Nothobranchius furzeri: one gene and its partners. The main gene of each other region encodes a partner of the protein of the gene in region 3 in a complex. Links are inferred from orthologs where the notes say so. Each region holds a gene or a part of one and is shown on either strand. Other genes may lie near its edges. The genes, in order: timm21, timm17a, timm50 and timm17b.

Region 1 (6,868 bases), on a different chromosome or scaffold from region 3:
TTTATCCCTGGCAGGTAGGATCGGGTGCACACGTGATGTCACTCGGTCACATTTCCCTTTCTAGATGTTCATTCTTCCGTTTCTTCTGCAGGACTGGGCTCTCGGGGTCCTTCATGCCAAAATAATTGCAGCCATCACTCTCATGGGCCCTCAGTGGTGGCTGAAGGCCGTTATTGAGCAGGTGCATTTAAGATTATTACATTACATAGACTAGTTAGCGCCGCACAAATGAACTGAGTTATTTATTTTTGCCCCTCAGGTTTATGCAAATGGAATTCGTAACATTGATCTCCAGTTTATTATCCGAAGGCTGGCAGCTCCTGTCATCACGGTCCTGCTGTTGTCTCTGTGTGTGCCGTACGTGATCGCTGCCGGAGTGGTGCCCGCCGTGGGTCAGTGTGAATCCAGCGGAGCATTTAGCTGCTGCTGCAGCGTCGTCTCTAGCTAACATCCCAGTGAGACACTGGCTTTAATGACTGTATTACATGATATGGTTGTTGTGTGCAGGAGTTACGGCTGAGATGGAGATTTTAATGCAGAGGAGGATCTACCCATTCCTCCTGATGATCGTGTCACTCGTTGGGATTCTGTCTTTTCAGATCAGACAGTTTAAACGCCTTTATGAACACATCAAGAATGACAAGTACGCATCTGTTCTGCCTCTTTTCCTCCCAGAAATCAAACGCTATTGAATCATCTTAATGTTCCGTCATCTGTTCACGCAGGTATTTGGTTGGTCAGAGGCTCGTCAACTACGAACGTAAATCCGGCCGAGCGAGCTCAGTCCCGCCCTCCGACCCCATCGCAGAGTGAATTCTCACCTCCAGCGTGTGCCACATGTTTGCATCTTCTCTGCTCAATCCTTAGATTTCAGCTCAGTCCTCATAGAGTAATCCTACTAAATCTTCTGTGGATCATAGTAGATTTGATGGATTGTGTTCAGTCTCTTTCACACCCACTGAAGACGGGATGGGAAACTCATACAGTCCTGATGGCGGGACGGCCCAGTTCTATTTCAACCAAACGGTGTAGGCAGATAAAGTAAAGGTTTGATCTTAATCCATCGTCCGTATTGTCGCTCATGCCTTGCTTTAAGTGCTGCCTGATTAATTGTACATGTGTAAATACTCTGAACACAGACTTTGTCTTACGAAATTGGACAGTTGTGAATAACTGACCATTGTACATCTTTAAACCATATGTATAATTTATTAAATCAAAGTGACCGTTTCTCTTTTCTGTTGTATTCTGTTCTGTATGGAAATTGTTAAAATCAGGAAGTAAAAACATTTCAAACATTAAAGTTCTAGATGATTCCCATTGTAATGGAAGAAGTAGGGTCAGTATGTGACTGGTGGAGGGGTGATGGACTCATCCTTTGGTTTTAGAAGTGATGGAAGTATATTCCCAAACAAATCCTTGAAAACTGCAGGAATCTCCTGAAGGTCCCTGGTTGTGGTTTCCACCAAACCTCTAGTTGCTTCTGATGGAAACCTGGAGGTGGATCAGCCTGTGGCCGATGTCAGTAACCCTCCCATCTGGTTTGAGGATCATGCAGAGGAACTTGCAGAAGAAAATGGAACAAGAAGTCTGGTGGTACTGACACATCTCCCTGAAGTCCTCCAGGCACCAGGGTTCTAGGGTGAACTTGTAGACCTCAGTCCATGTCTCCCACTTTGTTGTTATATCACCCAGCCGGCATGCAGAAATAAAGCTCTATAACTTTAGGATATCCAGAAGCAGAGAGAACCTCGGTGACAAGAACACAGCAAAAAGAACTGGAGACACCTGAGTCCAATAAGACCAGCTCAGTCCCAGTTTTAGTGGACATTTCCTAAGAAGTCAAAATTCAAAAACATGTATTTAGGTTAATGCCAGGGATTATATGAGTTTATCCACTATAATCAATATTTTGTAAGACTGTCTCCATCTAGTGGTCACTAGTGAAACATTCAGCCCATCAAAAAAACTTTCAAACATACTCAGGACGTTGTGGATTGGTGGGCAGAATACTTCAAAGACCTCCTCAATCCCACCGATACGTCTTCCAGTGAGAATGCAGAGTCTGGGGACTTTGGGTTGGCCTCTCAACTCTGGTGCTGAGGTCACTGAGGTGGTTAAAAAGCTCCTCTGTGGCAAGGCTCCAGGGGTGGATGAGATCCGCCCGGAGTTCCTTAAGGCTCTGGATGTTGTGGGGCTGTGTTGGCTGAGGCAGCTCTGCCAAAGCTTGGTCATTCGGGAGGGGCTCGAAGTAGACCCGCTGCTCCTCCACATCGAGAGGAGCCAGTTGAGGTGGCTCGGGTATCTGGTCAGGATGCCTCCTGGACGCCTCCCTGGTGAGGTTTTCCGGGCACGTACAACCGGGAGGAGACCTAAAGGTAGACCCAGGACACGGTGGAGTGACTATGTCTCTCACCTGGCCAGGGAACGCCTTGGGATTCCCCCGGAGGAGCTGGCCAAAGTGGTTGGGGAGAGGGAAGTCTGGGCCTCTCGCCTTAGGCTACTGCCCCCGCGACCCGACTCCGGATAAGCGGATGAAAATGGATGGATGGATCTATTTTTTGAAAGTAGATAAATGTTGCAAAAAGAAATGCCCAAAATTTTTAATTTAGTCAAGCAGAAGAGTCCGCGTTTATTTAAAAAGAAAGCCCCCCTGAAGGACACTTTAGGACAGATCAGCAATAAAGAGGGGTCAAAAGGTCTAAAGCAGGGACACAAACTGGACTTTGTTGAGTCATTTAACACATTAGTTTCAAATTAAAAAGGACAAGATTGTAATCCAGTGACCAGTGCCTTGTTTATTTAAATAATGCAGATTGTGAACAGCAGGGGTTCTCATCTGTTGTCCTCTATGATGATGCTCCGTTTGGGGTAGGTATCTAGATCCACGAATATATAACGAAATTCATATTTCCCCGTTTCTGGGTTCTGAAGTAAGAAACCAAAGACAACAAATCAAAAGACAATGGATGCAGTTTTCCTCTCAGCTCTTAGTATTTGATACCAGCTATTATAAAATGGATATTGTGTGAGCAGATCAGAAACCTACACACCTCCTTCGACTCTGAATGAACAGTTCCTTTCAGGCCTGGCTCGGAGCCTTCAATGTAAAACTTCAGTCTCAAGTGCTTCAGTCCATCCTTCAGATACTCCAGATGACTGAGGCGAAAACAAAAACAGATTAAAAAACAGCATAATCCCAAATAAACACAGTTTTATGCCTAGTTTAGTTTGTACCTGAGATGCTGCCTCCTTCCTCTGCGGGTGGTCTCACCGTAGCACTTGATTGGCTCGCCAAATGCCCCGATTACCTGCACTTTCAAATCAAAAACAGCACCGTGCATGTAACTTTATACTGAAAAGAGCCAAAAGAGTAAATCATTTGTCATTCTCACCTCTGGGTGTGACCTGACTTTATCAAAAGCTTTTGCGTAGACTTTATTTGGGCTTTTGGACGAAAACAGCTCCTGGAAAACCACATACAGCAGTCCACCTAAACACAAACGCACACATTTTTATTTATTTTGACAGCAGCGGGTAAGATCAAATTAAATATGCTGCTAATCACACGTTTGTTTCTGCAGTCTGGCTACTCTCACCTGTCACTCCCAGTCCGATGATCACAACTATCAGGTAGGTGAAGTCTTTACCAGCTTCTTTTACTGGAAGACACCCACAATGAGACTTTAGTAAACAACAGCATGCAGTAATTGGCATAAACTAACCCTAACCTACAGCATTTTGTACCGTGCTGCATAGCAACATAGCGTTAGCATTAGCTTACTCTTCTGGGAAGCTGAAGCTTTGGGGCTTGCGCGCTGATACCTGGACACCGCCGCTTTGTTCTCGTCCTCTGGCCTGCTCCTGTTTCTGGCTGAACAGTGGAGCGGTCTCACAGCCACACGGAGACAACTCAGCGCAGACAGAGGACTATCTGTCCCGAGAAGGACCAGTCCTGGTGTTGTGGACAAAGTCCTGCGCGCGTGAGCTAACAGTCGCAACTGACATGTTTGCGCTGCCGCTGTGTGTTGCAGACTTCGGTGTAACAAGGCTTTTAAAGGGTGAAGATACGCCATTATTGTCAATAAACCCACATTGAGGTGAACGGCAGTACAAACTACAGCGGCTGGCCTACTATAGTGTATAATTATGTCACCGTGACGTTTAATTATAGAACATTAATCGGCTAATGTCACACAAACAAAGCTGGTTTAGGTCGCACCAATATGGCGTAGCTTCTTCTTTGTTGTCTTTATTAGGAGTAAACAAATCAGCTTGGACTACCTCCACCTACCGGACAAAAACGAAACAACAAGCTTGCAATACCAGGAACATTTCCCCCCATTTGTTATGGTGGCTCTTGTGTAAATCCTTGTGAGTCGTTTTCTGTGAAGAAAAAAGTAAAACATTTGCTCTTCTGTTTCAGTAAGTAGAAGTTAGATGGAGCAGAGATCTGAAATGTTCAGCTAGCTGCTAATATTTCCTGCTTTAGCTCATTGATTCCATCTGGTTAAACACAGATACATTAGATATATTTATTGAGTTTTAGTAGTTAAGTAGTTTGAATAAGAGAAGATGTTCTGGCTTTCTCATTATCTGGACTAAACTATGCTATGTTTTATTTTGAAAGAACATACAGGAAGTAATAATGAGTATGGTCTTGTTTAGCTTTATTAACATTGACTGTAGTAACAGTTTTTGTCTTCCAGAGGACGGAAATATCCTTAATCTTAAAAGCCATAGACTGAAGGACTGAGTTCGATCTACATGATGCAGGAAACGTTCACATCCTGGTACTTCTGAGAAGAATTTACAGGAAGTGTACTAATTATTGTAACTTTACAAGTGCAGTTCCCCATTCTCCTCTTCCCTTTCCTCATTTAATCAATACATTTGCAGTAGTCTCTAGTAGGAATAAACATCTCGTGTGTCATACTCTGGGGAAAGAAAACACCGGCGCACCATTTTCAGGAACTAGAAGTGAGCCACATCAGAGCTGAGCTTCAAACGGCGGCTTTTCCGGAACTGCGCTGCTCTGGGTGGCTGCATGTTGGAGTAGCTCTGTTGACTATATGTAAGTTTTGTCTTTTCTTGGGCATTTTTTCTTATAGTTTCTCAAGAAAAACTGTATTTTTTGGACACTTTACTTTTCTGTTTCTGGTGCTGTGAAGCTTGGAGGATTTTTACTGCTATTTCTTTTAGCTTTTTTCACTTTTTGAGCATTTGTTATGATGCATAACCATGGCAACAAGCTGGTTTACAATCGATAGCAGCTGATTAACATTGGAAAGGCTGAAATAATACCTCAACTGAAGCCACAAATCCCAAATGAGCTAAAACGCAAGAAGCGTGGGTGCAGAGCGGGAGCAAAACGGAGATGGAGAAAGAGGAAATTCAAACCATCTCTTCCATCGATCATAATGGGCAATGTGAGATCACTGGCCAACAAGATGGAGGAACTCCAAGCCCTTTCAAGGACTCAGCCAGAGTGTCGGCAGTTTCGGAACCACTGGAGGAGATAATGTAAAGAAGGATTCTCCAGAGAATCAAGAAACTTAAGGACAACCCTGAGCATTCTCTTCACAAGACTGTCCGACAACAGAAGAGTGTCTTCAGTCAGAGGCTTCTTCAGTTTCAATTCAATTCAAAAATACTTTATTAATCCCAGAGGGAAATTGATTGCTGTAGTAGCTCAGAATAATAATAATAATAATCAAGTCATCAAAGAGTTATTGTATATTACAATGGCTGTTGGCAGGAAGGATCTCCGGTAGCGGTCAGTGTTGCAGCCAAACTGAAGAAGCCTCTGACTGAAGACACTCTTCTGTTGTCGGACAGTCTTGTGAAGAGAATGCTCAGGGTTGTCCATCATTTTCTTGATTCTCTGGAGAATCCTTCTTTGCATAATCTCCTCCACTGGTTCCACAGTCGTCCCCAGAACAGAACCAGCTTTGTTATTAGGCTGTTGAGCCTTTTCAGGTCCCTGCTTCTGATGCAACTACCCCAACAGACGATGGCTGAAGAGATTACACTCTCAACAACAGACGTGTAGAAGATTTGCAGCATCTTGCTACAGACATTGAAGGACCTAAGCGTCCTCAAGAAGTGCAATCTGCTGTGTCCCTTCTTGTAAACAGCTTCACTGTTCTTTCTCCAGTCCAGTCTGTTGTCCAGGTGAACTCCAAGGTATTTGTATTCCTCAACCACCTCCACTTCTTCTCCCATGATGGAAACAGTGTTTGACTCCACCCTTTGACTCGCTGCAACACTGACCGCTACTGGAGATCCTTCCTGCCAACAGCCATTGTAATATACAATAACTCTTTGATGACTTGATTATTATTATTATTTTGAGCTACTACAGCAATCATTTTCCCTCTGGGATTAATAAAGTATTTTTGAATTGAATTGAATTTTGGAGTCTTATTTCCTGATATTTGGACATCTCGCCTCGGATTGGATAACCATTACACGACATACCACTGACTTGCAACGTGGATGTTTTTTCTCCAGAACTAACTCAAACATGGAGGAGTTCTGCCATGTGGTGGTAAGGCTAACAGTTAGCTTCTACAAGCTGGGACGTTCTCTGCTGATTTCTAGCGTCAGGAAACTACACACAGTCTCTTTAAATGACAATGTGACGTAGATCTGTCAGGCTTTTCAAATCCTAGTTTCACCGTCTATCAGAAGCTAATGCAGGAGATAGGTGTAGGAGACTATTTTCATGTTCAGCCTGCATGAAATAATTTTTCAGTGTTCCACACCTTTAATATTAATATTCACAAGAGGAAAAAAAAGTTTTTTTCCAGCGTCCCTGATATAAGGAGGGTATTCGCTAAATGGCACTTTCCTGCCCATTCATTTG
Region 2 (7,399 bases), on a different chromosome or scaffold from region 3:
AAATCTCACGTTTTTAACTGACATTCTACTTTACATTTACGCACTACATTATTAAAACATTTAAAAGCCACCAGTTCAAATGAAAACAGGTGATAAACATATAAGTATCTTTTATAAATATCTACTATTAAATGGGCTGCATATTCCTGTGTGCATGGAGACAAGACTGTTGGTGAGCAAACACCATTAGCAGTAAAGTAAACAAGCATGTCAGGTGTTGAGTAGCAACAAGCCCAGCCAACATGTCCCTCTTTGCCAGAGCAGACATCATCCTTTAATTTTAGGGCTTTACTTAAGACAACCAACATTGACATTTAAAAATATAAAAACATGTTCACTGAGACCGGGCGTACCTAATGCATATCAGAAAAACATCCCACAATCTCTGCCGAGTGTTTTTACGGGACAAAAGTTACTCACCAGTGGGGAATTGTGAAGAAGCAAATCTTGTGAGCAGGATTCCAGCGCCCTCTATCAACGCCAGCAAAATACCTCCCATAGCAGCAGAGCCAACCATAGCAACTGGTCCATCTACAGAGAAACACATATTTTATACACATGCCTTCTGTGGTTGTGCGTCCACCTAATGTACTCACTCCTCGCAGCAAGGATAGCTCCTGTCATGGCCCCGCTTGTTATCGAGTTCCAGGGATCCTCCTTCCCTCTGACTTTTACTAAACCACAGTCGATCATTGAGAAAAGGCCTCCCCACACAGCAAAGCTACCTGCAACACACACATTCACAAACACTTTAAAACGTTCACTGAGTATAGGTTCCTAAAAAAGACACTCAACCCCCAAGCAAATGTTAAATAGGAGGCACCAGATAGATTTATTTTGGATTTCATAAATAAAAGTTATAAGGTGACTTGAGATTATCAGCTAATTCATTTCGCTAAAACTGGCTGTAGCAAGAAAAAAGTGAAATATAAAAGTGCAAGCAAGAGGTTTACTTAAATCATTTTCATGTAAACAACATGATGCCAACTAGTTTGCAAGTAATGCAATTTAAAAAAAAGAACTATATAAAGATGTTTTGATAGGGATGTTTGACATGCGGCCTACCATTAATACCAGCTGATAATGGAGTTGAAATGAAATATCCGTATTGATTTTTACTCTTTTAGTGACCCAACTTCATACCATGCACATATTATACATTGACTCTTTAGTAGCTATTTCTCTCTCAAAATGTCAAAATATCACAGATCTGAAGTTTTATTTTTATTTTACTCAACTTGTGGAAAAGTAGGATGTTTCTCTGTGTAATGAAAATATGCTGTCCTCACAGCACATAGCTATGTGTAGCTAGCCAGCTAGCTACACATAGCTATGTGTAGCTAGCCAGCTAGCAAACCACTAAAACAAAACAGGAATCTTCCTCCAAGGCTCGCTTTTCTCATCTGAAGATTTTTGAAAAATGTTTCATCATAGGTGCAATATACAAAAAAGGAAAGAATACATTACCAACTATTACACACATCTTAGCATCACGCTTAGCAATTAGCCTAGCTTAGCATGTGTGTACATTGCTTATATTTAATCAACTAAGTAGAATAGAACAGAACTTTATTGAACACCGCAGTGGACATTTTTCTTTGACTCTCCAGGACCAAAAAACATTCATAAATACATACACTCATTGTGACACTGTGTACTATGGTTGGAGCTTATTTACACTGGTAAAGGATCATTACAGCAGTGGGAACAAATTACTTTTTATAAATATATTTGGTTGCCATAGGCACCGTGTAACACCTTCCAGAAGTGTATGTTCCTTGCAGTGTTCCTCGTCCTTTCAGCAGCGTGTTTGGGGATGGTTTGTTGTGGTCTGCCCATGAGATAATTTATAAAAGTTTAGCCTTAGATCTGCAGCTCACATGACCAAACCAGGCCAGGAGACGTAGTCAAAATGCCCTCAACACTTCAGTTGCATAAGTTCAAATACACCCTAACCCATACATCCCTTGTTTCTGATCTTCTTTTTCTCTTACCTCCTAGTTGTGGGGCTCTGGTCTTGATGGCGGTTAAACTACCCCTCATCCTGTGACTCATCCCCTGGAAAAGGACGAAACATGGATCAGTGCTGAATGATTCTCAGCTCAGGAGTTGAAGTGATTTTCTCGATACAATTAAAAATCTAAAAACTACAATCAACTTTTCTGATTCAGATAAACACAGACCACAGCCCTCTAGTTGCATTTATGGGGCTGTGCATAAATCCAGAGGCTGCATCCTTTCAAGGCCACATTTTAAGGTTGATTATGCCACAGAAAAGTGACAAGGCCTTCCAAATATGAAGGAAACTCAAAATGTGTCCTTGTTTTCCCCAAATATCAAGGACAGACTAGTGGCTAGAAATCGGTGTCAGTCATCCGCCACAGAGAACGGCTGATCTAGCTCTAGGTAATTTGCTCAGTCTTCCGACGGTCACGCTCACACAGATGAGTGTTGGTGAGTGGCTGCAGTTGACTGTTGATGCTCCGTGTTTTTATTTCTGCAGGAAGCCAAACTCACCTCACACTGCCTGGAGTTTGTTCTTCAAAATTTTCATTAAATCCACTATGTTAACACATTTTTACGAGCTTCCTCCACGATGCATTTTTCACTGCAGGAATTAAAGTTTACATCACAGAGTAAAAGTTCTGCAGACAAGTTTGTTTACATTTTAGCCGCTGCGCACCTGCGCAGTGTGAGGCTAAGGAGGGGGGACGCAATGCTGCTCTCAGGGTCTCTGCGGGCTGCGAGTAGGACCGACAGATAGCTGGTATGATCGGCTCTGAAAGGCATTGATCAGAATTTGCATATCATGCTTTTTTCACGGAGATCGACAACAGATTCTTCTTCCGGTCAGCAGCCTTAAATCTGAACGATTCTGGAAAAAACTGACGGTTAGTCCCGGTTCCAATCGATGCCCAACCCAACAGACCGGGTAATCCAGGTCCTTACTAGGATACTATCCCTGGATTTGGACCCATCCAGCATCCTTGACCAAGCCATTAAATGTCAAGGCTAGTCTTCATGTGAGTGTGTAAAAGGGAACCCTGTAAAACACTGTTGGTTAACTTACTGAAGGTGCATTTCTGAAGCCTTTCACAGCCTGAAAAATTCCTCCACCAATAGCTCCCATGGTGAAAGCTCCACCACAGTCATCCACAATCCTCCAGGGGCTACAAGTAAAAAACAGAATTCAAAATTCTGATCTAAAAAAAGTCTCAAGAAAACTTTATTTTAGTGTTAAAATGCAACACAGTCATGGATGATGTTTGAAGTGTGTGCTTCCAAGCTGAAGTTCAAATAAACACACAGTCTTAATTGGAACTGTAGCATTTACTATACGGGACACACAGAACTATTGAGATTAAAACAAACTATGAAGCCTCAAGAAAAAAACTTTTTTGTGTCAATTTTATGGGGGGGAAAAAAGAGATGTAATTAGGGAAGAGTTTACTGAGATGAGCGATCCCTAGCCCTGCAGCCAGAACTGTAAATAGAGATAGGTGCAACAAATAGAAATGCTTAAAAGAGTTTGATTTATACCAAAGAGGAACAAAATGTGAATTATTAAACACAGCAAAAGGTCTGGTGACAGAGTACACAGACACTGATAACTATGTCTTTTAAACTGTTCTGTTTATGTGATGTTTGAATAATTCTGGTAACCACTCTTATGAAAACAGATGACAGAAATTGAGCGATAACCCCCTAAGTTTTTCTTCAACTCATTTATATTTAACATCCAAGAACCAATTTCATGCAGTTTTTCTAAAATAAAGTTTTCTGAAAAAATTTCATGTCTGATTCAGTCAGACTATTTTTTCAGTCAAGTCTTTGAACCTGGACTTGGTTTAGAATAACACCTGAAGAATGACGCAACTCTCATCACACAATTTGAAGACTGATGAAATTTTGAGCTCATTTCTTACACTTCATTTACTACACTTAGAAATGTTCAGCTTTACAAAAACTCTACAAATCTGCCATACCTGTCAAAGTATGTTTTTTGACATTTTTGTCTGAACAAAAATGAACAAATTACATGTGTTACAATACTAAGATCCCAGTTATTGAGAGAGATCATTGTATGAGTGGATTAACAAAGCAGCATCATAAACAGTTTTAAAACACTCAATAGCAGCAAACTAACAGCTGACATATAAAGCCAACTTCTTCTCACTGGAAATGATTAAAAGGCATTTTTCCCTGTCTTGGATTTCAAACATTAACCTAATTTAACCCTCAAAATGTCTTGCTATAAAACAGCATTTGTCAAATTTTAAATGATCTCTTGTTAAACCTGTTTTTATAAAGATGACCCAGCTAGACAACTAAGGTGTTCCAGTGTTAGGCATATTTAATATAACTCAATAGGAGTATCTCAGAACGTTTGATATGTATATGTCTGATCATACGATTTTGTCTTAAATTACAAGTTGTGTAATATCCGGATGGTTAGCACACTGGTGGCTAACTGAGCTAACAGCTACATCAACAATGTCTAATAGCCTAACAATATCTGAAGACGATAACTTTTATAAATGCTGTTAGTGATTAATATAAACTGTGACACTTATAATTCACAAAGCGTAACTTCAGTTCCTGAATTTACTTTGATGACATGTGGACGAGAAAAACGGCAAGGTCACCAACAACGTGATTTAGCCTTTCCGTTCTGATGCTAGCACAAAAGCCCATTAAACTCAAGGAGAAATTAGCATTTGAGCTAAATTGGCCAGCCGGTATTTTTTTTTCCAGGTGTATCGGGATGTGCCACAAGCTTTAACAATAAATATAAAGATGAAAACTAAATGCAATGCTCATTTTAAATTAGATAAAATTGGCTAATTTTATTAAAACAACGTAAACTGTAACATTTATCGTTATTTTGAAACTTACCACGGCTCTCTGGCATATTCCTCCATTTTGTTCTTTAGCTGTTACCACTGACGTAACGTAACGTCACTTCTTCCTTAAAAAAGAAAAACTTTATTGAAAAAAAATGAACAATGACAAATTTTCAACACAGGACTTTAATCACGCTCCTTCAAGACACTAAATTAAAAGAGAAGCAAAACCTTGTAGTGACATATATATTAAAACACATAAGGGCGAAAATAAAAAGAGGTACAAAGTACAAATGAAACAAACATGGAATACCAAACCAGTAGAAAAACAAATACTAAATAGAAGGAAATCGATAAAAATTAAGTTGTCCTATGAATGTGTAAAGCCTAATTGCAAGAGAATTAGTTTCAAACATTTTTGTAAAACGGAAGATAATTTTTAAACGCCATTGGGTGAGACTAGGCATATGTACATGTATGTAGGTCTATATACTAATAATACTTTGTAAAGATAAGATTGTTTATAAAAACAATGCAGTTTTTCTCTTTTAGGATTATACCAAACGGAACAAAGATTCACGGAAAGATTTCTGACAGTGTCACATTCATGCTCCATGTTCATGCTCTGTTTTCTCCAATGTTGTTTTATAGATGTAACAATTTTCATATGACCCCCTCTCTCTCTCTCTCTCTCTCTCTCTCTCTCTCTATATATATATATATATATATATATATATATATATATATATATATATATATATATATATACACACACACACACACACACACACACATATGTGTGTGTGTAAAGTACAGGCTAAAAGATTGGATACAACTTCTCATTCAATATGTTTTCTTTATTTTTCATGACCATTTACTGTACGTTGGTAGACTCTCACTGAAGGCATCAAAACTACAAATGAACACATGTGGAGTTATGTACTTAACTAAAAAAGATTAAATAACTGAAAAAATGTTTTATATGCTATTTTCCTCAGAAAAGCCACCCTTTTTACTACATAATATTTTATAGCCATACTATGTTAGAAGATTGTAAAAAGGGATGAAAAAATGTTTTAAGCTAATTTGTTTTCCAAGTTTCTTAAAGCAGCTTTAATACCTTCAAGTTTTCCTGATTTGACAGGGTAAAGCTGTGGAAAAAAATCCACTTTGTTCTTTGTTTCATAAAAAATGGTTAAATGAATGTTCCAGGCATTTAAAAAAACTGTAATACAAACTTCTTATAAACCGCAAGTTGGTACTATTAAAGTTCTTTTCTGCTTTTAAACGTTGACATAATTTTTCTGCAAGCCCGTGTGTTAGTGTTAAAGCATTTAACGGAATGTTTTCATTCCCTCTCCTGTTTTTCTCCATCAGAGACTGACGCTGCTGGTCAGAGGAGCAGCTACAGCCAAGAGACAGACAGCTGGCATGCAGCCCATTATTAGAAAGGGGGAAAGGAATGACTTGCAAAGCAAACTCTCATTGAGAAATGACCAAATATGGAAGCAGAGGCTGAAGCAGGGTTTGGAGAGATAAACAGTTGCTGGTAATGCTCATGCTCCCCTTTTCCATGTCTGAGTATGCTCAGATGATGGTTACCTTTTCAGCCAGAGTTGCCATGCAGCTTCACATGAACAGCATCAAGTAGAACACATGAAAGAAAATCTCCACTTTAAAAATTGAAAAGTTGAGTTTATGGAACAATTCTGCACTCTGTGTGAATAAGGAGTAAGGCCATGTTTACACAAACAATGTGTGTGGTTCATTTTCGTATGGCTTCCAGGTGGACTGCCATTCACACTGACTGCACATCATGTTTGGAACATCTCCATTCAATTCAATTCAATTCAATTCAATTCAATTCAATTCAAGTTTATTTGTATAGCGCCAAATCACGACAAGAGTCGTCTCAAGGTACTTCACATAATAAACATTCCAATTCAGGACAGTTCATTAAGCCAATCTGAAATAATTTTTCCTATATAAGGAACCCAGCAAATTGCATCAAGTCACTTACTAGTGTCAGTGACTATACAGCAATCCTCATACTAAGCAAGCATAAAGCGACAGTGGAGAGGAAAACTCCCAACTCTCCATAAATTTAATGGTGAGTTGATGCAATAACAACTACATGAACGGAGAGGAGATGTTAAACAAAATGCTCATCAACCATCATACACTCTGAGCCATGGACGTAGTTTTGACTTTAGAAGTGGGGGACACACAACCGGCATGAACACTTGGGAAGGGGGGGTATCTTTACTGTAGGTTCTAATGGGAAATGAGCTTCAACACAAACGGTTGTTTTCTGCTTGGTCCTAGTGCTCCACCCGTGTCTATTTAGAATAGTGTAATTTTGTTTTTGGATGGTTAAAAAGTGCAGAGGACAAAAAATGACTTTGGAAAAAGAAGGGGACCCCCCCCCCCCCCCCCAAAAAATACTACGTCCCTGCTGTGAACCGATATCTCTGTCATTAATAATAAAGCAAAAGCCGGAAAAAACAATGCAGCACAGGTTTATTTTGAAAAATACTGGATGGTGGATGCCCCTT
Region 3 (7,448 bases):
CTCTGGTGTGAGAAACGTGTTAGCAGCAGCTATCCTGCAGTTAGCATTAGTGCCACCAACATTTATTAATTGCAGATGTTTAAGTGGGTTGGGGGGTTAGAGGTCGACTAATATTGGTTTTTCTATTGCCGATACTGATGCCCGTAGAAGACACGGTCATCCGATGGCCATTATGTTTGGGTTTTATGGGCGATATCTAGACACTTTCCACTTATTTTCTTCCTAAAATATCCCTAATAACATCGGTTGCTGCACAACCGGTTGTTGAACTCGGAATTTAACTAACTATTACATTTTAACTTGGTGTAATGTTTAGTGTTACAATCAGACACTTAAGTTAAGTTTGAGTATTTATAATGAAGATGTTATTAGTGGACCTAAAACTACACAAATTAAATCCTGCAACAGCACCAGGCTGTCTGAGGATGTGCCCGACTTCTCCTCCAGCTTCACTGGCTGCCAGTCAACTTCAGGGTTCATTTCAACATCCTGGTTCTGGTCTATAGGGCCTTACATGGACAAGCACCATCTTACATTGGTGATCTTCTTAGTCCCTTCACCCCCAGCAGGTCCCTGAGGTCCAGTGATCAAAGCCTACTGGTTGTACAGCACCAGGCTAAAGGTCAAAGGTGACAGATCATCTGCTGCTGTGGCCCCCAGACTCTGGACCTCTCTCCCCCTGAGCCTGAGATCAGTGGACTCGGTGGTCTCCTTTAAACTCACCTGTTCAGGCTGGTTTTGGTGTGACCTTCATCACCCTCTCCTTATTCTGCCTTTTCTCTCTCTCTCTCTCTCTCTCTCTCTCTCTCTCTCTCTCTCTCTCTCTCTCTCTCTCTCTCTCTCTCTCTCTCTCTCTCTCTCTCTCTCTCTCTCTCTCTCTCTCTCTCTCTCTCTCTCTCTCTCTCTCTCTCTCTCTCTCTCTCTCTCTCTCTCTCTCTCTCTCTCTCTCTCTCTCTCTCTCTCTCTCTCTCTCTCTCTCTCTCTCTCTCTCTCTCTCTCTCTCTCTCTCTCTCTCTCTGCATTTTTAATCAAAATTGTGTATTTTGCTTATTTTAAACACATTTTTAGACATTTTCTAAATTCTTTTTTATATTTAAAATTTTTGATTTTGTGAAGCGCCTCGTGATTTTTATCTTGAGAGGCGCTATAGAAAAGATTATTTTCTTTCTTGCTTTCTTTTCTTTTTAAAGTCAAACAAAAATCGTCCAACACCAATGTATAAAAAATGGAAAATGTCGGCCCAATATATCGGTCTACCTGCGTTCATTACAACATTACATGAGGCGGCACGGACTCCTTGGTACACTCGACATCCCAAGCTGCCTTTATTCATTAACAACAAGGTAAATGTGGTTTTAAATTCTTAAGACATCTTTTAAATAACGATCGTTACATTTTGAAATCTGCGGCTGCTGAGTTGTTTAATTAATCATTTTATAATTACAACTTCATAGGTTAATAATTATGGTTAATGTAATGAATAAATAAATAAATGGCATTTATGTCAAAGATTTGATGAATAGAGGACTTTTTTAAAACTTTGTTGCGTCATCAGGTTGTTTTTCAATCCTCAAGAATGCTAGGACATTCCCAGAGAGTAGAGCAGAGAGTCAAGTATGGGAGGACGAGGACATGATTTGGAGCAGAACGTCCTCTGTTGTCTCATGGCAACAAGCAGTTAAAAAATGACCTGATGTGATTGTAACTGACCGTGTTAATGGTCCATTCATTTGCATTTCATGGGTTACAAATGTTATTCCTTATTTTACTGTATAACACGGATGATGCTTTTATTTTGAAGGAACGGCTTTTATTGTTGAAAGAACAGAGCAACAAGCTGCCGTAAATCAGTGTCGCAAACCGCACAGCAGCGGGAAAACTCCATGGAGGTAAACGGAAGGTGTTAAAGGAAATTACGGTTTATAAGGTTTATTTCTTAAACACCTGCGATGGTTTGAGCTCCTTGTTGATGAGGAACATGGTGGGTTTTGAATGTTGAATCGTAAATGTGTATATGTTTGAACATTTATGTTGTAGGGTGTTCTGCTGAGTAAAAAGGACTCTTTTGTCCACTAGAAGGTGCTAAAGAATACAGATAAGTTAAGCATGTTAAAAGGTAATGATTTATTAACTGCTTTATTTTATGTGTCATGTAAGGTCACAGACGTGATTTACTTTATTTTATTTCATGTTTCAAAGAGGTTTAAAAGCATTGTTAAATGGTTTAATTTAATACACATGTATGGGTAATCTATGTAGAAAATGCCAACAAAAGGATGTTACAACTTAAAGGGACTTTACAGAGTTTTTAATTTTTATGCTCACGATCGCCCCCTCAGGCCAAAAGCGTTAACGGCAGCTTCAATAGTAGGCTCGTGCACGAGGCGCGCATGCTGTACGTGCACACTCCTTAACGAAAATAACAGCTGAGACAGTCCCGTGTGTGTGTGTGTGTGTGTGGCCCGGAGGACAGGGGAACACGCTAGGGCTGGGCAATCATATGATCGCACTTTGTGATCACGATCATTTTCAGTTCAATTACGGTGATCAGCTGGGAGTCTCGATCAGAAATAACAGATGTGTGCAGCCTCAGTAGGGGGCGCTAACACTCCATGCGCGTTGGTTGCCCACTGCCATTTAACAAAAAGAAGAAGCATTTGCAATTACACTTTTCCTGCTCCGCTACTTCGAGGAAGAGGTTTAATAAGCAGAATGGCCAAACGTGGAGCTGAAAACAGCGAAGTAGATCCCAGTCATGACTCGGAGTTGTCTTCTGGAGATGATGACATTGTTCAGAAGAAAAGTTACTCAACGTCAGTAGTGTGGCGGTGGTTCGGGTATCTCAAAAGTGACGTTGAGCCTGAACCCGCCGATGTGGGAGGAGTCTCTCTCTCCCCACTCAACTGCGCCCCCGCTGTGTGTGGAAAACTAAAATGGAAGATAACCTGCAACTCAGTCAGCTGTGGAATTGGGCTCGGCTCTGGACAGTATACCCCACCCCCTCCCCCGCGCTGCCTGTTGCCGCCACCATAACACACGGGGAAACCCCGGATGTTACATCAGTCAAAAACGCAAAAACCGCAGCTTTGACGGTCACGTGATCGTTAGGGATGCAACGATACCACTTTTTTCCAAACTGATACCGATACTTGGATCTGAGTACTCGCCGATACCGATACAGATACTTCTACCACACAAAAAAATTAAATGAATTGGAATACAGGTTTTATTTTCTTCTGTTTTCAATAGGAAAAGACTGTAAGGTAGATAAAAAGTAATATAAGTGATTACAAAACTAAAATATTAGGTGAACAGAAATGACAAGTTAAAGTGAAGTCAAGTCAAGTCAAGCAACTGCATTGGTATCATTTACTGGTATCGGTTAACTTTTACCGATACCGATACCAGTATTGTATCGGTGCATCCCTAGTGATCGTGCTGTTTGAAATCACGATTTCGGTCCAAAAACGAAAAATCGTTCAGCCCTACTCACCAAAGATGTAGACAACGCTGACCGCTCCGCCAAGGCCTAGGAGTCCCGCCAACCGCAGCACCATTTTTTTTGCATAGGCCATGTTCTCCTTCTGTTTCTTGTCATCTGTTTGCTCTCCTTCCTTCTTGCTCTGACCTTCTTCTGTAGGTGGCTGGCCCTGGAAAAACAAACAATAACAATAGATATTTCATTTGAAGTCAAAGCAGATCACCATGACACGTGGGGTCCCCCCAAGGATCAATTCTCGGACCACTGCTCTTCAATCTCTACATGCTCCCCCTGGGCCAGGTCATACAATAACAACATTACCTATCATAGTTATGCAGATGACACCCAGATCTACCTAGCTCTATCACATAGTGACTGTGGTCCTCTCCACTCACACCGCCAGTGTTTGGAGCAGGTTAATGACTGGATGCAGTCAAACTTCCTCCAGTTAAAGACACGACTGAAGTTCTTGTCTTTGGAAATCTGAAGGATAGGATGGAGGTTATTGATCGACTTGTCTCCGGAGGAATAAAGACCCAGGTTAGAATCTTGGTGACATAATTAGGGATGCGTGATATATCGGCATCGATGTCGGTATCGGCCGATGCCATGTCGTGTTGGTTTTAATGTTCTTGCTATTCTTGCTAATGGAAAAGCATATTGAACTGCCTCTGTGTGTGAAATGTGCTATAAAAATAAAGCTGCCTTGCCTTGAAGTCTGATTACAAGTCAAAGCTGTGATGCTGCACTGAGACACGTTAGCTGGACCTCTTGTTACCTCCAAAAATGATATTAAGCACCAAACAAAAAGATTTAATTCAACAAATGTTGTCCTTAATCTGGTGGGTCAACCAGGATTAGCGCCTTTGACCAGGTGAAATCACAGATTTGCAGATGATACAAAAATAAAAGCCTGAACAGGTGAGTATTTTTACAATACAGCCAGAAAATAAATAAAACTTCTGACAGAGCCACCGTTTATGAGGGCAATGGGATCTCAAACACTGATGGATGGGTACTCTAACATCCCGGAGATGTTTGGCATGAGTTAGAGGAGAGAAGAAGGTCCTGTTCTGTCCTTCTAGCCTAAAGCACCTTGACTGTTATTTTTCTAACAGAATGAAGCTTGGCTGAAGTCAGTATGAGAGAGGACGCAGCATTTTACCTGCAGACCCCACGATTACGGTCACGCACAGCTACAGCAACACATAAAACCAACGAGCAATAATATAAACCCTCCCGTGGAGAAACCTGCACAGGTAACGCTTAGCCGTCCGTGGCTAGATGTAGCTTCGGTTTGATATAATGGGGATTCTCGGAAGGGCGGAGTCATGACTTAAACGTACAAACTGCACTGCCTTCGCCGCTGGACAGAAAACCGAGCGCACCTCACCTGGCTCTGGTGCTGCTGGAGTCGCTCCTGGAGGATAGCCTGAGCTAGTCCGCTCGTCGCGCCGCGCGGTCCGCCAGACGGCTCGTCTGTGGAGAGTGTCCGGATGATATCCATCGCTGCCAGCCTGGAAGCACCTACCGCTCCGTTGCTGAGCCTCAGGAGGCCGTGACTCGCTCGGACACACATGGGGAACACAGCCGACATCTTGGATTGTAGCAGCCGGTGAGCGTGTGACGCAAGACTGAAAGACAAAGATCTGCGATTGGTTTGGCTCGCGTTGACGGACCAGTACACTGTCCAATCAGAAACGGAGTTGTCCACGTGGTTAAAAGAAGGGCGGTGCTTAGTAAATTTAGACCAATCAGAAGTGAAAATGAGTCTGACCTTCGGATGCGACACAAAACCACCATGACGGTTGGTGGCAAATTCGCCCTAGTCAAATGGGACTTTGTAGGTAGTTTGTGAGGTAGCGAGCCGCCATCTTGGATGGGTCATTATTTGCCCCCGTGCAACTATATCTACGGAGAAACTATAAACCTACTAAAACAAACCTTTTATTATGCTTTTTCATTAAGTCAGACGCATGGTATGGCATGATAAATAAAATGTAAATATAAACAAAATGAATGAAAATATAAAATCCCAAAAGGAAGGCTAGAAAAGTCTATATTAATCCCACGTGGTCTGTTTTCAACAGTGCGCCAGGTGTTGCAACCACTCTGTGTTTATGGTTGCAACCGTAGGCTGCACCAAAAACAGGCATAGTTCCCCACTCTTAGTTTGGAAAGTGCGGAACCCATCCAATATGGCGGCAATGCTGTTACTCTCTCCAGCGCCCAGTGGTGCAGTTTACGTATTCGTATGGGTGTGGGCGTCACCAGTAGACAAGCGGAATGGTTCTTTTACAAGGATTCAGTTCTCATCTTTTAATCTGAAAAGCCGAACGAAAGATTCAGTTTGTTAGTGAATGTCACATCTGTGTTAAAGGATCACTTTGCAGCTTTGGCCTGATTTTAACATGGAAACGTGAGATTACAGGAGGCCTGAATCTGACTGAGACTGGTAACCCTAAGGAAACCACCATCACAATCAGGTGATTGTGGTGGGTTCTCCACAGTTGGACTGAATACAGAAAAACAATCAGAACAAAGACTAAAGCTCCTAAGCTTGTAGATCCTCCTTCAGGAACTCAGGAATCATCTTCTGTTTGACACCATCATGGTTCTGGAGGAGTTCTGCTCCATTCTTCTTAAAGGTTGCTGACATTCAGCTCTTTGAAGGTCCTAAGTCTGGTTCGGGTCTGGACACTGACTGGACCTCTCCAACATCTTGATTCTGTTGTAGATCTGCTTCCATGTTCTGGATCATGATTATCTTTTATGACCCAGTTTGAGATGATCTCCAGCTGTCAGACAGATGGTTTCACATTAGAATCTAAGAGGCTTTGGTATCCAGAAGAGTTCATGGTGGATTTAATGAGTCCTGTTGGGTCGGAACCAGTCCAAACCATCAGCCCTCCACCACCGTGCTGACTGCTGGGATCAGCTGTTTGTGCTGTCATGCATTATGGGTAAACATCTATTTAATGGGACATCGTTCCAGAAACATTCTTGTTCATCCAGATAACAACCTAAGTTGAGCTGTCACAACTTTTAACAGAAAGAACTCAGGAGGTAGAGCAGGCTGTAATCTGAAGGTTGCAGATTAGATCTAACCCTAACTCTAACCAAGACACCTAACCCACCTGGTGCCTGCTGGTGGTGGTCTGAAGGACAGGTGGTTCCAGTGTATGGCATGCCTTACCTCTGTCAGTGCGCCTGAGGGCAGCTGTGGTTTCATTGTAGCTCATCATCAGCAGTGTGTGAATGTGTGGATGACTAATTGTGTTTTGAAGCACCTTAGGAGGTTGTAAAACCCTAAGAGGGCGTTATAGAAACTGATAATTTGGACAGGTCAGCTCTGCTCTTCATGTCAGATACGCAGTTTCCATCTTTTAATCAGAACATCAGGGTCCTGCAGTTCTGATCATGTGACTACTGTATCCTGGAATAAAAGCTGCTCATAGATATGTTTCATTTATAGTCAGTTTGTTGTGTGGGATTTTTTTTTTCAAATTTTATTTTATTTTATTTATCCAATTTTGTGTTAGTGCATGTTGATGAGGTGTATTCCATGGCTGTGGTGAGAGGGCAGTGCGGGCATCATCTGACCTACGCCAGCTGATGCCACCGCACCACCCCACTTACACCCTCAGCCATCAGTGTCTAAGTGCGGTTTAAAATTGGAAGTGGGCACCGGCACTCGGGATGAGGCTGAAAAATCCCCCTGCCAAATGCCGTTGAATGTGCTCACTTCCGAGGCCCTAAGTGTGTGTTTGCGTGGAATGTCGCTGGTGGAAGTGTTTAAGGTGCAAATAAAATTGGGGGGCTGGTTGCCACAGGAATGCGGAAATGGGGTCCATGCCCGCACCCCCTGACTTGTCCACCCCCCATGGTCCTATGTGTATGTTTGTGCGATGATGTGAGGGAGCAGGAGGAGAGAAATGTTTGGGGATGGGGAGGAATGGCCTGTTGG
Region 4 (7,650 bases), on a different chromosome or scaffold from region 3:
TAGTTACTAGCTTATAACCGGTGCTGTGCAAAACAACGTACCAATTTACCATAAGTCCTTTCTTACTAATCAAATCAAACATATATAATCATACATAAATATATATTGACATAAATAATTACTTTCTGTTTATTTTACTTGAATACATGTAGTAAAACAAAAGAAAACAAAAGATCTTTAGGAACAACCACATTACTATTAAAGTGAGGTAAGAGCCATTTCAGCAGCAATAATAACACATTCACAAATATCTAAAGGTAGATATTGGGTTAGCTTGATGGGATCGCTTCAGCTAAACCAGGTAAAATGAAAACGATGACAAGTAAAAACTAAAGGAAATAGCTGAGATGGAGCTTCAGGTGGAAACTTTTATTTAAGACCTCAACGATGTTCCTCCTAGATAAAATCAGAGTGACCCTGTGGAGAAATGCAAAATGTTGATCGCTTTAAGAATCTAATCTATCATTTCATCTGGTGAGTTTATGCTTTTAGGTCAGGGTTAGGGTTCCTGTGTAGCATTTTAGGATTTTCCTCCCATGAAAGGCGTCACATAAACAAACAAATGTAGCTTTTTATTGAGGACTGTTGGTTTCTGAGAGGATTTAGTCTCCCTGTGCTGCCCTGTGTGTGTGTGTGTGTGTGTGTGTGGGTGTGTGTGGGGGGTGGGGGCTTCTTCCTTCACATCACTCTGAGGCTTTAGTCAGAACCTGAACAAGAGTCAAGTCAGAAACGTGTCAGAAGCCCTTCTTGGCTGCTTCGGCTGAGTGTGGAGTTGTATGAGATGAGTCGAAGCTGCACACGGACAGTTTGTCTTGAGTTTTCAAACAGAATCTTCCAAAGGATGACCATCGATAGAGATGGTGGCTGGTCTCTACAGACACCAGAAGAAGATCCAGGCTCTGAGGGAAGACCACTAAAGCTCCAGTCCTGTGAGGCTTCATATCACAGGAACACTCGTTGAGTTAGGCAAAGGTCTAGTTTTTCAGACGCACGCAGACGTGGCTTGATCGTCAGAAAATAAAGATTATTCACATGGAAACCCCTTCAGCAGTATCCTGGGTTAGAAACGGAGCTGGACCTTCCTACCTGACAACAACAACAAGTGAGCAAGAAGCTTTTCTGCTAATCTTCACTGAGGACACAAACCAGCATCAGGGGTCACTTTCATTCTGTCATTTCTCTAGAAAACGTTAAACGTCCTAAACTAGAACAGGTGTGAGGTTAGCAAAAGTACAACCACTAATACATTATCGAATAATATATTGGAACTTTATTGTTCATTAAATATTTGTACAATAAATATATTTAGATAAAATAAACATAGTCTCTGTTTACAGTTCGGAAGAAAATCAGCAGCCGTTCCAGAGCAGAGTGAGCCAACTCACATCAGAACGTTTCATTTTTACATTGCTGACATCTTATTTGATTTCTTTTCTAACCAAACGGTTACAGATCTCACGTGTGGAAACGCAAATTCCACCTTAAGAGCAGGAGCGAAGCACTAGCTCTGGTTAGCGGTGACTGTCACCGCTGACATTTAAACAGAAGAAGAAGAAAAAACAAACTCTTCAGGGTAAAATCCGCTGAGCACACAGAACAAAATGTCACAAATGCACCTGATTACGTGTGTCCTCTGAGCCTGCTGGACTCTACAACACCAGCTCCGGAGGAAACGAGTGGTTTGATCAGTAAGAGTTACGCTTACAGGCTTTTTCTGAAGACTTTTCCTACAGAAGAAACAAAACAAGCAAATGGTTTCCCCACCATGCAGGTCTTGGAGAGGAGCGTGTTGACTGCTGGCTTCAGCCACTGGTCTTTTACTAGGTTTCACAAACAAACTGCAGCTTTAAAAGGCTGCAGAGATGTTCAGGAGGACCAGCGTGTGGGAACTCGAGTAAGAGCTGAGCTTCCTGCAAACCTCTTCCAGGAAAGACCTAGTCTTCTAGCGAGATCCTCAAACGTGATGCAAGCGCGGCTGTGAATGAGCGTGCATCTGGGCTCTCACTGGGCTATCTGTGACTGCTGGGGGCGCCTTTTCAAATCAAGAGGGAATTTCCAAGGATTCTCATTGTCCTTGTCTCGTGTTGCTGCCATTCTGAACAGGTCCTAACAAGCGTTTGTCCCAAAATAATAACAGACGTCTTGCTGCTGATGTCTGGAACCTTCGTCCATTCAGCAGTATGAGACCATTTTACAAAGGGTCCATTAATAAATCTGGAGTCAAATCAAAGAACATTAAGACAACAAGAAAATTAGCATCACTGCGGTAAATAAGCTCCACACGACCCTGTCCACATTCACGCTCCGCCTGTGTGGCTGCCAGCAGTCTCGGGCCAGCGACATCAGCTCATCCAGACAGTGGAGACAGGAGGGTTTTACGCTGAGAGCTCGTGTTTCCACGCGGACTCCAGAAGAGACCAAACATGTTCTCCCCATGTTTTAAACATACGTGTTTAAATCATTATGAATAATGAAAGCATTTATGTGAAACTCAAACTAGATATTTAAGCATAAAGACGACAGCGACAACTCTCGCACGTAAACATTTAAACACTGACCCTGAGGTTCTACAGCCAAGTCCTAAGGGCATTGCTGCTCTGGTCTACAGCTGGACTCAACCCTCTACTGGAACAGCCCTTTTGGGCCCTGCTGCTGGCTATGGGGGGGGCCCTCCGTCCTTCGGAGGAAGCTGACTGGGGTCCTCTGCAAAGGGAACGGCTGGAGACAACAAGCAGAAAGAAGTGAACTTGTCAGGCTTTTCTTGGACGTGCTGCAAGTATCCTACTGGTTATCGGTTTCAAACGACAGATGGCTTAACTAAAACCCAAAAGTGGTTTAAAGATGTCTGCAGGTGTTCAGTTTGAGCACCTGGTGTATATTACAGAGACGGGAAAGGCACTCACGGTTCTGAAACTGCTGGGCTGTGTATCTGGTTAGGAGAATGCCAAAACCTTCTATGAGAGCGAGTAAAACCCCGCCCATCATGGCCGAGCCCATCATGGTCAACGGCCCACCTGAGGCAAACCAAAACATTTGGTGAGTTACTGAGTTCCTGTCTAGTGTTTGGTTGTTGAGTGTTATCCTCACTGCGTGCTGCTAGAATGGCTCCAGTCAGCGCACCACTTGTTATAGAGTTCCACGGGTCTTCTTTCCCTCTCAGGCGAACCAAGCCACAGTCAATCGTAGAGAAGAGACCTCCCCATACGGCAAAGCTACCTGGTAGAAGAAGCACGTCAGTGCTGAAGCTCAGTTTAGAGAAAGGGACCAAAATCCTTCAGTGGTGTGTGAGGAGCAGAGCAGCAACGGGTCAAACCTCCAATCTGTGGGGCCCTCACTCTCACTGCCTTTGCACTTCCTCTTAGTCTGTGTCCAACACCCTGAAATGTTACAGACAGGTTTATAAAGGCTTCCAAGAAGTCAAGTCAAACTAGTCTGTTTTAAACTCACAGCAGGGGCATTTCGGAAGCCCTTGATGGCCTGGAACACCCCTCCACCGATGACACCCATGGAGAAAGCTCCTCCACAGTCGTCCACAATCCTCCAGGGGCTGCAGGAGGTTAGGGGAGGACACACAAGACACCGTCAAAATACAAGATATACAGTCAGATCAGGATACAGACGTCAACGGAACTGCGCTGCTCTGGGTGGCTGCATGTTGGAGTAGCTCTGTTGACTATATGTAAGTTTTGCCTTTTCTTGGGCATTTTTTCTTCTAGTTTCTCAAGAGAAACGGTATTTTTTTGGACACTACTTTTCTGTTTCTGGTGCTGTGAAGCTTGGAGGATTTTTACTGCTATTTTTTAGCTTTTTACACTTTTTGAGCATTTGTTATGATGCGTAACCATGGCAACAAGCTGGTTTACAATCGGGAGCAGCTGATTAACATTGGAAAGGCTGAAATAATACCTCAACTGAAGCCACAAATCCCAAATGAGCTAAAACGCAAGAAGCGTGGGTGCAGAGCGGGAGCAAAACGGAGACAGAGAAAGAGGAAATTCAAACCGTCTCTTCCATCGATCATAACGGGCAATGTGAGATCACTGGCCAACAAGATGGAGGAACTCCAAGCCCTTTCAAGGACTCAGCCAGAGTTTCGGCAGTTTCGGAACCGCTGGAGGAGAAAATGCAAAGGAGGATTCTCCAGAGAATCAAGAAAATTATGGACAACCCTGAGCGTTCTCTTCACAAGACTGTCCGACAACGGAAGAGTGTCTTCAGTCAGAGGCTTCTTCAGTTTGGCTGCAACACTGACCGCTACTGGAGATCCTTCCTGCCAACAGCCATTGTAATATACAACAACTCTTTGATGACTTGTTTATTATTATTATTCTGAGCTACTACAGCAATCAATTTCCTCTGGGATTAATAAAGTATTTTTGAATTGCATTGAACGTAAGCACGTATATATACGTGGATTGACAGCAGAACTCACAACGCGTCTCTGTTCTCTCACATGTTTATGTTTCACTAGAAAAACCAACACTGGTATGTATGTTAGCCGTATTTAGTTTACAGTTAAAGACAAACTAATCTTACCAAGGTTCGCGGACATATTCCTCCATGTTTGTTTTCGTCTAGACGTTGTGACGTCATACACGTGCGACCGGCGCTACTAGTGCGTTGGCGGTGCTAACATCATTTTCTCTGCTATTGGGTGAATTTCTTTATCTCAGGTAAACTTGTTCCTGTTCGGATCCCGTTTTGAAGCGTAAACGTTCAGATTTTCGTTCCTTCCGGGCATGGAAGTACTTACGCAGTCTGCTTGTTGATTTAATCATCCAGCGGTTGCTAACAGGGTTAGCCTTCGGGTAAACGTTTGTTGTTCGTGCAAATAAATGCAGATTTTACGAATGTCAGACTGTTTCTACATCTGTAGTTAAAGTCTTTAAAAATAACACAACTCAAATGTTGAACATAACTTCAACTGAAAACGTAAGAACAGCATTTATTCAAATTGTATTGAAAGCCCGACGCCTTTTACTGCGTGTGCTGTTGGGAGCTTTATGTTCTCCATATTTCATTACAATGTTTTATCTGAAAGGTTTCTGTTCAGATGTTTATTTGTTATAAATTAACTCGTTTTTGTACGTAATTTGGCAGTAAAGAGACGTTTTGTTTATTGGGATAAACCCCGTTGTGTATAATTGAGGCTGTATACTTTAAATATCAGAACACATGAGAAACAAGTAAATTTTCTGTATCTTTGCTGTGGATTTATGAAACCACTGACCTCATGTACAGATGTTCGAGGTGACTGTTGTGACAGCATCTCGTGTTTTTCAGGATGCCTCTTCCTCCAGCTCTGCTGGCCCGCTTGGCCAAGAGGGGGATCGTTAAACCAACAGAACGAGGTTCTCATTTGGCTTGAACACGCTGGCTCCATGCATCCTTCTCTGTGACTTTACACGTATGTCGTGTAACAGTATTTTCTCCTTTAATAACAGGTGCAGATGAGGAGATTATTGCCGAAGATTATGATGACAATAATGTAGATTATGAAGCCACCAGAGCAGAGAATCTTCCTCCAAACTGGTACAAAGTGTTTGATCCAGCTTGGTACGTACACTGTACTGGTTATCTACGGTTCTTTGGTAGTTTTACCTCCAGTGCGCTTGTGTTTGGGTGTTTGCAGTCCAGATGAAGCTTTCCAGTGAATTCACAAAGCGATGTCATTGGGTCTCTTTTACATGTTTAGTATGTAAGCTGATTAGCCTTCTCTTCCTGATTTCCTGCCACCCTCAGTGGTCTTCCTTACTACTGGAATGTTGAGACGGATCTAGTCGCCTGGCTGTCCCCAAATGACCCCTCGTCTGTGATAACAAAAGCTGCCAAGAAAATGAAAGGTGGGTTTAAAAACTAAACTCGCCAGTTTTGCATAAGTGTCTTTAAAAAAGAAACGAGGAATGTTTTTCACAGAAATTGCATTATTATTTGTTTTTAGCTGATTTGGGAGATGAAAGAGGAGAGCGACCGTTTGAGAAGCCAGACAGAGAGAGAGAACGGGAAAGGGACAGAGACAGGGATAGGGACCGGGAAAGAGAAAGAGATCGGGACAGAGACAGGGACAGAGATGATGGGCGGGACAGAGACAGAAGAAAGCAAAGGAGGGACGACATGGCACCATACAACAAGAACAAAAGAGGTGATGCTTACAGAAGTCTTTCGTTTTCACGTTAAAGCTTTATCTGTGATACAATAACAGTTAAAATCTGATCGTGTTTGCAGGAAGAAAGGATGACGAGATGGACCCCATGGACCCCAGCGCTTATTCTGATGCTCCCAGGTAAAGTAAAACAAGCAGCAGGCAGGAAATTACCCCTGTCGTCATTCCACTCAGTTACATGTCAGCTTCAGCTTTGTAAGTTAAAGAACAAAGCAGACATTTAAGTCTTTAATTGAATGCACAGCACTGCAGCAGCGGTGTAACATGATGCATGCTGGGTAGAAACTTTGGACGACTGCTGCTGGCACTGCAAAGCAGGCGCCAAGTCACGTGGCTCTGAAACCTCATGGGAGCGAGGTGGCTGCAGTTTTCTGAGTCACACGCTGCAGTCCCTCTCCTCCGGTTTCACCCTCTGGGCTGGACCCGCCGGAACTGAACTCTGGTGCATGATCATGTTTTTATTTACGTCTTTAAAGCTACTTGAATCAAACATGTGATTTATACAGTTTTAGCCTCGGGGTCTTCTAAAGTAGTCGTTCTACTTTCATTAGTATCATTTTTCTTTCGGCCAAGCTTTCTGCAGTCTAGGCTTTAAATTCAGCTAAATCCCGTGTTTTGGAAAAGCTGCACCTGTCACCTTGACCCATTATTACAACTTTCTTTACATATTATTTATTCAAAACTCAACGCCTGGCTTTATAGTGATGGCGTCTTTAGCCGCATCTATGGAAATGCCACTAATGCACACTTGCAGGAATAAAATTTGTAGTTTTCAACAAGTGGATTCCTGGAAGGCTTCTGGCTGAAACGGGTACTAAAGGGATCGGGTTCTGTGGTTTGTCCTGTCGACTGAAGTCAGAACTTTAGGTTTTTTTTGCAGAACAGCCCAACACATTTGTGTTGTGTGTAAAAACGCTCATTTGTGAGTCACTCTGGACAAACGCGTCTGCTGAATACACGAAACGGTCAAGTTAACCAGCTGAAACGGCTCTAGCGCTAGCTAAACAACCAGGCGTTAGCAAACAAGCTGGCCCACTCTAAAGGTCTGCTGAACTGTTTTCCACAGGGGCTCTTGGTCGAGTGGTCTTCCCAAACGCAACGAGGCCAAAACCGGTGCAGACACCACAGCCGCCGGCCCGCTGTTCCAGCAGCGGCCGTACCCGAGTCCAGGCGCGGTGCTGCGGGCCAACGCTGCCAACCAACCGCCCAAGGAATGAGAAGCGCTCCCACGGAGACGCTCTGCGTCCTGCGCACACCTCTTGTTGTTAGACGTGATGTCGCATGCTGACATTTTAGAGATCAAACTTGTTGTAAATATGTTTTATAATAAAATGGATTTCATGTTGTTACTAGAACCACCAGTTAACATAATCAGTTCTTACTCTGGTGAGAAAAGCATCTGCTGGGGCTCGTCGTAACTGTAAGAACGCCTGCACAAACACTTTTCCAAGGTTTTATTAAAAATTCCAAAGTGTTAAAATACTGTC

Evidence for each region.
Region 1: timm50 (region 3) and timm21 share a complex: the UniProt entries of both Homo sapiens proteins name them as parts of the TIM23 complex. The link is inferred for Nothobranchius furzeri from reciprocal best matches to the Homo sapiens genes TIMM50 and TIMM21.
Region 2: timm50 (region 3) and timm17a share a complex: the UniProt entries of both Homo sapiens proteins name them as parts of the TIM23 complex. The link is inferred for Nothobranchius furzeri from reciprocal best matches to the Homo sapiens genes TIMM50 and TIMM17A.
Region 4: timm50 (region 3) and timm17b share a complex: the UniProt entries of both Homo sapiens proteins name them as parts of the TIM23 complex. The link is inferred for Nothobranchius furzeri from reciprocal best matches to the Homo sapiens genes TIMM50 and TIMM17B.

What each region holds. Positions count from the first base shown.
Region 1 is NC_091747.1:54,071,850-54,078,717, reverse strand, and holds timm21 (mitochondrial import inner membrane translocase subunit Tim21), read right to left. Parts: upstream 4,266-6,868; 5' UTR 4,077-4,265; coding exon 3,785-4,076; intron 3,663-3,784; coding exon 3,600-3,662; intron 3,494-3,599; coding exon 3,396-3,493; intron 3,312-3,395; coding exon 3,238-3,311; intron 3,160-3,237; coding exon 3,054-3,159; intron 2,929-3,053; coding exon 2,836-2,928; 3' UTR 2,773-2,835; downstream 1-2,772. Other genes in the region: E3 ubiquitin-protein ligase MARCHF6, read left to right, coding at 1-14, 92-181, 260-392, 508-643, 726-813. UniProt on the Homo sapiens protein: Participates in the translocation of transit peptide-containing proteins across the mitochondrial inner membrane.
Region 2 is NC_091743.1:60,933,116-60,940,514, forward strand, and holds the start of timm17a (mitochondrial import inner membrane translocase subunit Tim17-A), read right to left. Parts: upstream 4,997-7,399; 5' UTR 4,923-4,996; coding exon 4,897-4,922; intron 3,171-4,896; coding exon 3,071-3,170; intron 2,059-3,070; coding exon 1,995-2,058; intron 726-1,994; coding exon 597-725; intron 532-596; coding exon 421-531; intron 1-420. UniProt on the Homo sapiens protein: Essential component of the TIM23 complex, a complex that mediates the translocation of transit peptide-containing proteins across the mitochondrial inner membrane.
Region 3 is NC_091753.1:57,195,774-57,203,221, forward strand, and holds the start of timm50 (mitochondrial import inner membrane translocase subunit TIM50), read right to left. Parts: upstream 5,115-7,448; 5' UTR 5,097-5,114; coding exon of another isoform or gene 5,079-5,096; coding exon 4,875-5,078; intron 3,651-4,874; coding exon 3,494-3,650; intron 1-3,493. Other genes in the region: clip3 (CAP-Gly domain-containing linker protein 3), read left to right, coding at 5,059-5,096. UniProt on the Homo sapiens protein: Essential component of the TIM23 complex, a complex that mediates the translocation of transit peptide-containing proteins across the mitochondrial inner membrane. Has some phosphatase activity in vitro; however such activity may not be relevant in vivo.
Region 4 is NC_091755.1:41,958,251-41,965,900, forward strand, and holds timm17b (mitochondrial import inner membrane translocase subunit Tim17-B), read right to left. Parts: upstream 4,621-7,650; 5' UTR 4,563-4,620; coding exon 4,537-4,562; intron 4,112-4,536; exon of another isoform or gene 4,003-4,111; intron 3,548-4,002; coding exon 3,448-3,547; intron 3,378-3,447; coding exon 3,314-3,377; intron 3,217-3,313; coding exon 3,088-3,216; intron 3,015-3,087; coding exon 2,904-3,014; intron 2,719-2,903; coding exon 2,657-2,718; 3' UTR 1,248-2,656; downstream 1-1,247. Other genes in the region: pqbp1 (polyglutamine-binding protein 1), read left to right, coding at 5,285-5,351, 5,445-5,556, 5,743-5,843, 5,942-6,142, 6,226-6,283, 7,230-7,380. UniProt on the Homo sapiens protein: Essential component of the TIM23 complex, a complex that mediates the translocation of transit peptide-containing proteins across the mitochondrial inner membrane.